Schizosaccharomyces pombe: one gene and its partner. Changing the gene in region 1 together with any one later gene gives a genetic interaction. Each region holds a gene or a part of one and is shown in the gene's direction. Other genes may lie near its edges.

What was found.
Region 2: mutations in mug58 (region 1) and idp1 together harm fitness less than expected from each alone (positive genetic interaction), as found in Schizosaccharomyces pombe (one large-scale study listed by BioGRID).

Annotation. Positions count from the first base shown.
Region 1 is NC_003424.3:361,299-366,262, reverse strand, and holds mug58 (glycerate kinase), read left to right. Parts: upstream 1-2,405; 5' UTR 2,406-2,660; coding exon 2,661-3,494; 3' UTR 3,495-4,015; downstream 4,016-4,964. Other genes in the region: rRNA (adenine) methyltransferase Bmt2, read right to left, coding at 1-713; protein mug177, read right to left, coding at 4,389-4,706. UniProt on the Schizosaccharomyces pombe protein: Has a role in meiosis.
Region 2 is NC_003424.3:3,228,763-3,234,055, forward strand, and holds idp1 (isocitrate dehydrogenase Idp1), read left to right. Parts: upstream 1-2,617; 5' UTR 2,618-2,773; coding exon 2,774-4,093; 3' UTR 4,094-4,214; downstream 4,215-5,293. Other genes in the region: cbc1 (nuclear cap-binding complex large subunit), read left to right, coding at 1-21, 71-2,162; glucosidase I Gls1, read left to right, coding at 4,908-5,145, 5,196-5,293.

The DNA of each region.
Region 1 (4,964 bases):
TATAAATAGTAGGCTATTTTTTTCGATATAGACTTTTGACGACAGATAAATCCAAACTGTATCATAATTGAGTGTAATGTTTTTTCATCCATGTACCGAGAATTTGTTATGCAAGGCGAAGGCAAAACCAAAAATAACCAAGGAGGCTGTTCTTTATTAGGAGGCATTAACAATCCTGTACAATGTAATAACATTTTAGCTCGGAGTTCTGGAGGTGCAAAATTCAGCACAAGTGAACAACTTATCCCAGTAAAAAGTCCTTCTTCAGGAGTTCTTTCAAGAAAGTCCTGTTGTTTAATCAAGGGATGAACAGAATGCAAATCAATCCTTGAAACTCGGAAAAGTCCACAAGTTGAACATTTGTTGTCAACAGAAACACTGCCAATTTCCAACAAATCTTTCGGCTCCTTAAGACGTGCGCAATACGAAAAACAGGGAGTTGTCCGAATCCATTTTATCAATATTTTACTTGAATCCCCTCCTTTTCCTTCCGCTTGACCGGATCGACTAGCTCGTTGGTAAGCATCAATACCTATATTTTCGAGTTCACTTTCCACATTTTTTATTTTTTCAATCGGAGCACTTGACGCAATAAGTCGAGATTTCTCTTTTAACAGGTTATGATAATGACGAATAAGCTTATTCCCCTTCAGTCCCTTTGCATTATCAATGTTGTTTTTTCCAATGCGATTCTTCACTGGAATGGGACGCATTCAAATAGTGATAAAATATTTGTTAATCTCCCAGATGAAAATATAATTGTATTTACAGTAAATGGTTCATAAATGTAGTTTCCTAATTACTTGAAAAGTTTTTACGATGAAAGAAGTAGTGTCGCGTTACTTATAAAAATTCAGCACAAGAAGAGCTTGGACAATGTATGATAAATTCTTAATATGTAATTAAAGAGCGGTAATTTATGCAACCCTTTAACCATTACACAGAATATTAAACGGGTTTCCTTTTTTTATACGGTTTGTACTTTACAAGCACAAATCAACTTTTTTTATATTTGAAACAAAAATTTAAAGGCTTTGGGCTTCGAGGGGGATCGAACCCCTGACCACTTCGACCCAAACGAAGTATGCTACCACTACACCACGAAGCCTCAGTTGATATTGTGCTTTGAAAACTGTATATATAGTTATTAGATTTACTTGATTATTAACTAAACTTTTTCAATTGTTTTTAAAAAATAATCAAAATAAAGAAAACAACCGCCAAATATGGTAGAACTATAACATAAAAAAATTCGGATAAATAAACAGCCAATATCAACTTCTCTCTTAAATTGTTTTAAATGATTCCACTCATCAGTTACGTTACGATATAATTGATATAAGTTATTTTTAAAAGAAAGTAATAAATGTGTATAAATATGTATATACGACAGCTATTGAAAAGTATTTTGGTAAATTCTAAACTAACGATTTATATCTAGTGGAATTGGATAAGGGACTTTATTTATTATTTCTTAAATAAAATACATTTTAAAAAATAAAAAAAAATAAAAAAAGAAAAGAAAAGAATTTGGTGTACTACGGATTACCTTAAGTTTTTAAGTTAAACGGGTGAAGTGTAAGTATTTATGATATGAAAACCATAGAAACATTTTTGTATTTTTACTACTTACAGACGAATTCTAATTGTTTCACCAGACTATATACTATTAAAACAAATAAGTGCTTCAAAAATAATTATTGTAGATTAAATTTTCTTGATAACTCAAACTTGAGTAAATTAATTTTTTAGAGTATATGTTAAAAAAATAAATACTTTTAGTTTAATTAAACGTACAAAAAGTGTTAACAAACATTATGTACCTGTAAACAAAATGTAATAATTAAATATAAATAATATTTGTAACTGCGGCTGCTATCGCATTGGATGGGGGACTGATTGTTGTACATTTCAGCTAAACTTATTTTTACAAGTTACTTTATTTACTGACACAATAAATTGCGTGTTTTTTTTGGATTACTATAGAAAAAACACATACGTTAGCACTGGAATATTATTATTTAGCTATAAAAGTCGCAAGAGACAAGTATGACAATTTAAAGACAAAGTATAAAATGCATATTACCTAAATTCTTCAGCATTTGAGCTATACTGCATGGCATCAAGATTAAACAATTTAAAAGTTAGCCGTCATTGTAGAAAATATAACTACAGAAATTCTATTATCCCTGAAAATCCAGAGCATCACCAAATTTTATTATGTATCTTCTATTTACTTATAGGTAAAAACAAAACATTTACAGCGTTACAACTTTCCAAATAGTGAGGCGCAGTGAAGCCGTTTCCAAGTATTACAGAGTTTACGCAAGCATTCAGTATATTGGCACAAATGAGACGTAACGGAATGTTAGTGATACAACATCCCGTAACAAAACTTTGTTGGTAAAATCCAACCATTGCATAACGACTTTAGCCTTTTAAAAAGCTTTTTGTGTTTGTAGTCCTTTACTGGTAGTCGTTACGAAAGTATCTAGTCACTGTGGTACTTAACATTGAATTTTCATATAGCTACAGCACCTCGCTTTCTTTCACATTTCGAGTATTAGTCCTACGTCTTTCCTATACTTATGTTATTAAGTCGTTTTTAAGGGGAAGCTAGGTTTTGTATTTAATTTAAAAATTTTATATAGAAGTGGAATATGAGTTCGTTGGAAATCATTGTCGACAAAATTTTAAAATTCCTGGAAAAGCAGCCAAAACCTGAAGGTCGTCCTTTTATTCTTGGAATTTCCGGCCCTCAAGGATCTGGTAAAAGCACACTGGCAAGTGCTTTAGATACCGAATTAACAAGGAAGAACGAATCAGTTGTGAAGTTCTCACTTGACGACTTTTACCTCACGCACGCAGAACAAGTTGAATTGGCCAAAAATAATCCCAATAATCCTCTTGTTCAACATCGTGGTTTAGCTGGAACCCATGATGTCACATTTTTAAATAATGTTTTAAATGCATTTGTTAAGGGAAGCGATGAGGAGGTATCTATCCCTTTTTACGATAAATCCAAGTTTGGTGGCTACGGAGATAGGGGAGATGAATCCCAATGGAAAAAGGCAAATCCTAAAACAACTACCTATGTAATTTTTGAAGGATGGATGGTTGGGTTTGAGCCGCTCGATTCTTGCATGCTGTCTGTCCGAGCACGATCAACACGTTGGCAAAATATTGAAGGAAGTTTACTGTGGGTAAACAGAAAGCTTGCAGATTATCAGCCTATCTTTCAAAAAATTGACTCTTTGGTGGAACTAGAGGCACAAGAGATAAACTATGTTTACAGATGGAGACTGCAGCAAGAGCATGCTTTGAAAGCTCGGATCCACAAGGGTATGAGTGATGAAGAAGTCATTGAATTTGTTAATCATTATATGCCCCAATATGTCTTTTATCTTGGTACCTTATCTAATAAAGTACATCTGAATCCACACTGTTTGGAAATCATACTTGATGAGAACCGATATCCTGTTGTTATGCATTGATGTATTTGTCTAAGATTTAAATCCCATGATTGTATAGCGTTCCTGTACTTTGGAATACTTTTTACGCTCCCCCCTTTCCTTGAACAAAGTTTTTACCTCTACTTTTTCTTTAATTCCAACTTTCTTTTGAAGTAACCCATCAAGGTTTGACCGACAAAAGCTTTTTATGATATTGTTGTATGCTTTTTCTAGCAAGCTGCTTTTAGACGATGTAAACCATCTTTGTAAAACTTAACAATGCGCTGCTATCACGTTCGACAATTCACCGTTTCTAATAAATGCTCCCATGGCGAATAGCCTTTTTCGCTATTTATTGGTTTGCTTCGGTTGTGACGCTTTAAGTACAAGTTTGTTAACTAGAAATATCAAGCATTTTTAATAATGTGATATTCGGTGGGCGGTTGTTGATATGCTTATTGCCAGTAGTCATGAAATAATGATACCAGCGAGTAATAAAATAGCAGTAGGTAAAAGGAAATGAATAAAAACAAAACAATGGTGAAAGCCTGTTGGTCGCATGTAGTCGAAAGCCGTTTTAATGATTGTATGTGAGGTCATAAAAACCAGTAATTTAAACGAATGCAATATTGATATCCGCTTTCACATTGTTTCCAATACCACATGCCATTCATATGCTGTTACATACAGAAACTCAACGAAACATTGAATTTAGCTTAATTTGAAAAGTGGAAAAAGAAGAAAAAACTCGATACTCTTATTTAATGTCACTACGCTCATTGGCCGTATGTCAAGTTGAAACGATTAAGGTCATGGGTTCACTGCAAAGGGTTTGTTCATCACGAAAACAAGCGTTTATTAAGCGCACCGAGATAGACGAAGTTCCCTTTGAGCGGACCATTCAGGATGACTCAATATGAAGGATAAAAGATGCAATCACAGATGGGAATCAACCGTCGGAGTAAATAGACAAACTTGGTCGGCTTGTTTAAGGCACAGTAAACCGATCCCGTTAGTAACGCTTTCTACGCAAGAGAGTTGCCGATCATTCAGCCTCATCCGTCTGAAAGATACTCGATACAGAGAAAATACAAGCTTATACTTGCAATTATTCCCTTCATTTTGCCGATTTAGGAGAATTCGGAGCGAAAAATAAACATTCGTTACATTTCGATAACAAATTAACACATTGCGTTCTGATTCCCTATTTTTAGTTATCACTATCATGCACCTCGCCACTATCTTTGGGTACATTTCCAAGCCTTGCCTCTATGGACAAACGAAAATAGGTATATGTGAAAAGAAGTCCAAATATCTAAAGAGTTTTGAGAGCCATTTAAAATATATAAATCGTAATCTTTGAACTGTAAATGGCTAATCCGCTGATAAAATTTGTATGCCAAAAAATGGCGTGAGTTTACCTCAGATGATTTTTTCGCTGTTTGGTAAATCACCAGCGATATATAAGCCAAGATATCGTTTCCTTTACAACTATCACATAAAGTAACCCTT
Region 2 (5,293 bases), 2.9 Mb from region 1:
CTTAGATTGCATTCAGACAACGTAAGTGATAATTTATACTGTCCCTTCAGAAAACTAATTTAATCCTTAGTGCATTTATCATTCCAGTCAAAATACCTCATTTGGCTACATTAATTATAAGAGCCTCATTAAGGGTTCCTTTAATCTTAGAAAAAGCAGCTGCGTATTTTTGTTTACAGTATTTTACGAATTTAAACTCCTTTCTTTATTACGAGGCTAAAGTCGATCTACGAATGCTCATTTGCATGTCATTTGCACTTCAACCAGGTACCCTTAAGCCACTATTTTCATTACTGGCTGACGCTATCTCAAAAGAAACCAAACCCAGTGTCTGGGGAGATAATTTCCTGCGCATAATTTTGATAAACCTTCCATATTTCATCGCAGCTAACAACGATCTCGGTAAAAAGGATTTTGCTAATGAGATACTGGATCAATGTGAGATTTACGTTCGTCATAGGAAATCTTCGATAACTCTAAGTAATCCCCTTTCAATACATGACAATCTTTCAGAGGAGGAATTGGACTTACTCTATAAACAACTAATTCTATCTCGGGAAAACGACTTTACTTTTCCTTATATATCTCAACCCTGGAAGTTTTTTGAATCTGATTTCGTTCATATTGTTCCGGTTAGCCCAAGTATTCCTGAATGGACGTTTCAGCCCACTCCTCAGCAAAATGAGCTACCTTCCTTCAAGAGATTTTTTGAGCTTTTTAATAACTTTGAAATTCGCACGACTCCTGACGCTTCCGACGTTGCAGCCAGCATATTTCGTGATATAAGTGTGGATGTTATAAACCATTTGGAATTTAACCGAGTTGAGGCTGCTCAAGTTCTTACAGATTTAGATGTTTATTTTACCTACAAAACTTTTGCTCTTCGTGGTACTCCAGTAAATGAATTACCAAATTTAGATCCATCGGAATCACGTTGGAAAGCAGAAGATATCATAGTTGAAGCTGTTTTGGGTGAGCTTCTTGGTTCACAGAATACTACGTATAAACCTGTCTATTATCATTCGCTTTTGATTGAATGCTGCCGTATCGCTCCTAAAATTTTGGCTCCAACTTTTGGAAGGGTCATTCGGCTAATGTATACCATGTCTTCTGATTTACCTTTACAAACACTTGATCGATTTATTGACTGGTTTTCACATCACCTTAGTAATTTCAACTTTCACTGGAAGTGGAATGAGTGGATTCCTGACGTTGAGCTGGACGATCTTCATCCAAAAAAAGTTTTTATGCGGGAAACTATTACTAGGGAACTTATTTTAAGCTATTACACAAGAATTTCTGACTCACTCCCTGAAGAGTTACGTTGTTTGCTTGGCGAACAACCGTCGGGTCCCAATTTCGTGTACGAAAATGAGACTCATCCGCTATATCAACAGTCAAGTCAAATTATCGAAGCATTGAGATTACATAAACCGTTAGAAGAACTTGACATTATTTTGCAGAGCGAGGAGATTCAAAACTCCGAGACATCTGCTGTCCGATTAGTTATGTCTTGTGCTTATAGCTTGGGTTCGAGATCGTTTTCGCACGCATTGAACGTGTTCGAGAAACATCTTAATACATTGAAACATTTTTCTCGAAAATCATTAGATTCCGAAATAGAGGTTGTTGATGAACTTTTTTCATTTTGGAAATTACAACCGTTCAACGCAGTTATGTGGCTAGATAAAATGCTGAACTACTCTATAATTAGTATTACCTCTATTATTGAGTGGTTGATCAAGCAAGACGTGACTATATGGTCTCGTAGTTATACGTGGTCACTTGTTAACACCACTTTTAATAAATTAGCAGCTAGATTGCGGCGTTCGGTTTCTAACAAAGAAGACTCTTCGCTAATCAATGAAGCGAATGAGGAAAAGGAAATTGTCACGAATTTACTATTGTCAGCTTTGCGCGCCCTTATTTCCGAAAATGCTGAAAATATATGGGTATCTCATTGGCTTAACCTTATGTTAAAATATGTGGAATCAAATTTCCTCTCTGTTAAAAAGGACACGATAGAAGAAGCAAACGAGCCTGTTCAAGAAAATACCAGTGAGGAACAGGAAGACACAAAAATGCAACCCGTCGACGCAGTAGATGAGCAGCCATCAGAAAATAATCAAACAGCAGCTGATGCAACTAATGAGGAAAAATAAAGAAAGTAGTCTATAACAAAAATGAAGAAAGTGTTGTTTTGATATCAAAAAGATTAAACTGAAGAACTCGACTGGTAATCACGACGTTGTCAATCTGCTACAACGTTTGAACGTGGATATAGCTTATATTAAATATTTAATTATAACGTCCCATTTTCATAAGCACTTGTAGGACGCTGCTGCACTTCACAGTTAAGTTACTAGAAACGAAGATTTCAATTTTATAGGTAACAGGGTTATCAGATCTATCAGAGGTAACGGATATCTAAAGATAAGATATTTTACGATCGACTTGTCGGTTCTAGTTTTGCGTAGTGTCATACTATGTGAGCGAATGGATAAGCGAAATGTTCACTCACATCTCCGATATCAGAAGTGACTAAATCTTTTCTCAGTTTAACGAAAGGATTGCTAAAATGTAACAAAATCACTACTGCCATCAGTAACTTACACTTAACCAACCACTTTGTGCTATTGTAAGAAGTAGTGAGGAACAGAGGCAGTTTGGTGGATAGAACTAGGATTTAAGGGACATTTGCACAGCTACTCCTTCTCAACTTAGCTTCGTCGAATATTTCATTTACTTTAAAGGATAAAAAAACTGACACAATATGTTGGAAGTACGTGCTGCCGTAAAGGCACCTTTCAAGTTGGCTGCCGCAGGCCGTGGTTTCATGAATATGCGTATGGCTTCAAGCAAATCTTTTCAAAAGATCACTGTTAAAAACCCAGTCGTTGAAATGGATGGTGATGAGATGACGAGAGTGATTTGGAAGATCATTCGTGAAAAGTTGGTTCTCCCATATATGGACATTAAATTGGATTATTATGACCTTGGAATCGAAGCTCGCGATAAGACAAACGACCAAATTACTGTGGATGCAGCCAAAGCTATCCTCAAAAATGATGTCGGTATCAAATGTGCCACCATTACTCCTGATGAGGCTCGTGTGAAAGAGTATAACCTCAAGAAGATGTGGAAGTCTCCCAATGGTACCATTCGTAACATTTTGAATGGTACAGTATTTCGGGAGCCCATTTTAATCAAAAACATTCCCAAGTATATTCCTGGATGGACGAACCCTATTTGTATCGGGCGTCATGCCTTTGGAGATCAATACAAGTCAACGGACTTGGTAGCTTCAGGCCCCGGTAAGTTGGAACTTTCATTCACCCCTAAAGGTAATCCTTCTGCTAAAGAAACATACAATGTTTACGAGTTCAACGGTAGTGGTGTAGCTATGTCTATGTACAACACTGACGACTCTATTCGTGGATTTGCTCACAGTTCTTTCCAAATGGCTTTGCAAAAGAAAATGCCACTTTATCTTTCCACTAAGAATACAATTTTGAAAAAATATGATGGTAGATTTAAGGATACATTCCAAGAAGTATATGAATCTGATTACAAGCAAAAGTTTGAGGAACTAGGTTTATGGTATCAACATCGTCTAATTGATGACATGGTAGCCCAAGCTATTAAGTCCAATGGTGGTTTTGTTTGGGCATGCAAAAATTACGATGGTGATGTTATGTCGGATGTGGTTGCCCAAGCTTATGGATCCTTAGGCCTAATGACTTCTGTCCTCATTCATCCCAACGGTCGCACTTTTGAGAGTGAGGCTGCTCATGGTACTGTACAGCGTCACTACATGCAATACTTGAAAGGTAAGAAGACTTCAACCAACAGTATTGCCTCTATCTTTGCCTGGACTCGTGGTCTTGCCCATCGTGGTCGTTTAGATGGCAACGAACGTTTAGTTAAGTTTGCCAACGCCCTCGAGCATGCTTGTGTTCGATGCGTTGAGAAGGGTATTATGACAAAGGATCTTTACCTTCTCAGCAAGTCTCCCAATGGTTATGTTGATACATTCGAGTTTTTGGATGCCGTCAAGTCCGAGCTCGATTCGGAATTGGTCAACATTGCCTAATTTTAGTGTTAGACCTGTTGATTAGTGAGTCTTTGAAGTTTAAGTTCTGGATTATTCAATCATGTTTTTACTAGGATACTTTTTGTTAAAACAATTATTTTGAAGTGTGTGCATTTATATTATTTTACAATTAACAGTGGAGTGTAGGAAGTCATTTCTATTAATCATGAAATTTTGTAAATTTTTTATGCATATTCAGACCATGACACTATTATCTAATTTTTTTCAATTTTTTCCCCTTAAACGTAAAGGAAAAAGCTGAATGATTATTCATTTATTCATTGAAATCTTTCGGATTTCTTGCCGTTTATTGACTACAAATGTATCTTGATTCTTTAAAGCTTTGCTTCAAACCCACTTAAACATATTTATCTAGCAATTGATTGAGCCATAACAATTTAGGTAAAGGTCTAATATTAAAATTCAACAACTGAGCTAATAAACTAAACAATTGATGGACGTAAACCCCAACTACATTAAATGTATATCACTATGGAAATGCTTTCTATTATGTTCGAATACAATGAAGTTGTAACAAATATCATTTTAAAAACTGCTACTACTTAATTACTTGTAATTTCTGTTAAACTGATAAATAAAGTAAGCCTTTGTTCTTAGCTCCAAATGTTTTACGCAGCCAAATCTTACGCGCTGCAGTGTGGCTGTGAGCGTTTGGAAAAAACTTAACGTAGCATTCATAATGCTAGTTAAGACACTATAATGTGTTGGATGCCAGAGGAAGCATGCTAGCCATGCAATACACACTAACCAAAACAAAACACTGGCCATCATCAGTCTTTTGCTAGCACAAACGATGGTGTCAGACATGCTTGGCGGAAATAAGAGATGGATTTTATTTGGACTCTTATCGTTTCTATTGAACTGCGTACTTGTCTCGTGTAGTGTTGAAGACATTGAGAAAGCAGCGAATGATTCGTTTTTATGGGGTCCGTATAGGCCAAATTTATATGTTGGAATTCGTCCTAAGATTCCTGATTCGTTAATGACAGGACTTATGTGGTCCAATGTTGATGACTATGCTAGATTCTCAAGTATGTCGCGTTTGCAGCTGGACATACATATAGGTATTAACATTATTTAGAAATGAGACACAGTGCCGAACATGGAGATGATATTGGTGCCTTTGGATGGAAGCATTACGATGTTCGTCGGGGAGGACAGCAAGTGATCGATGATTTT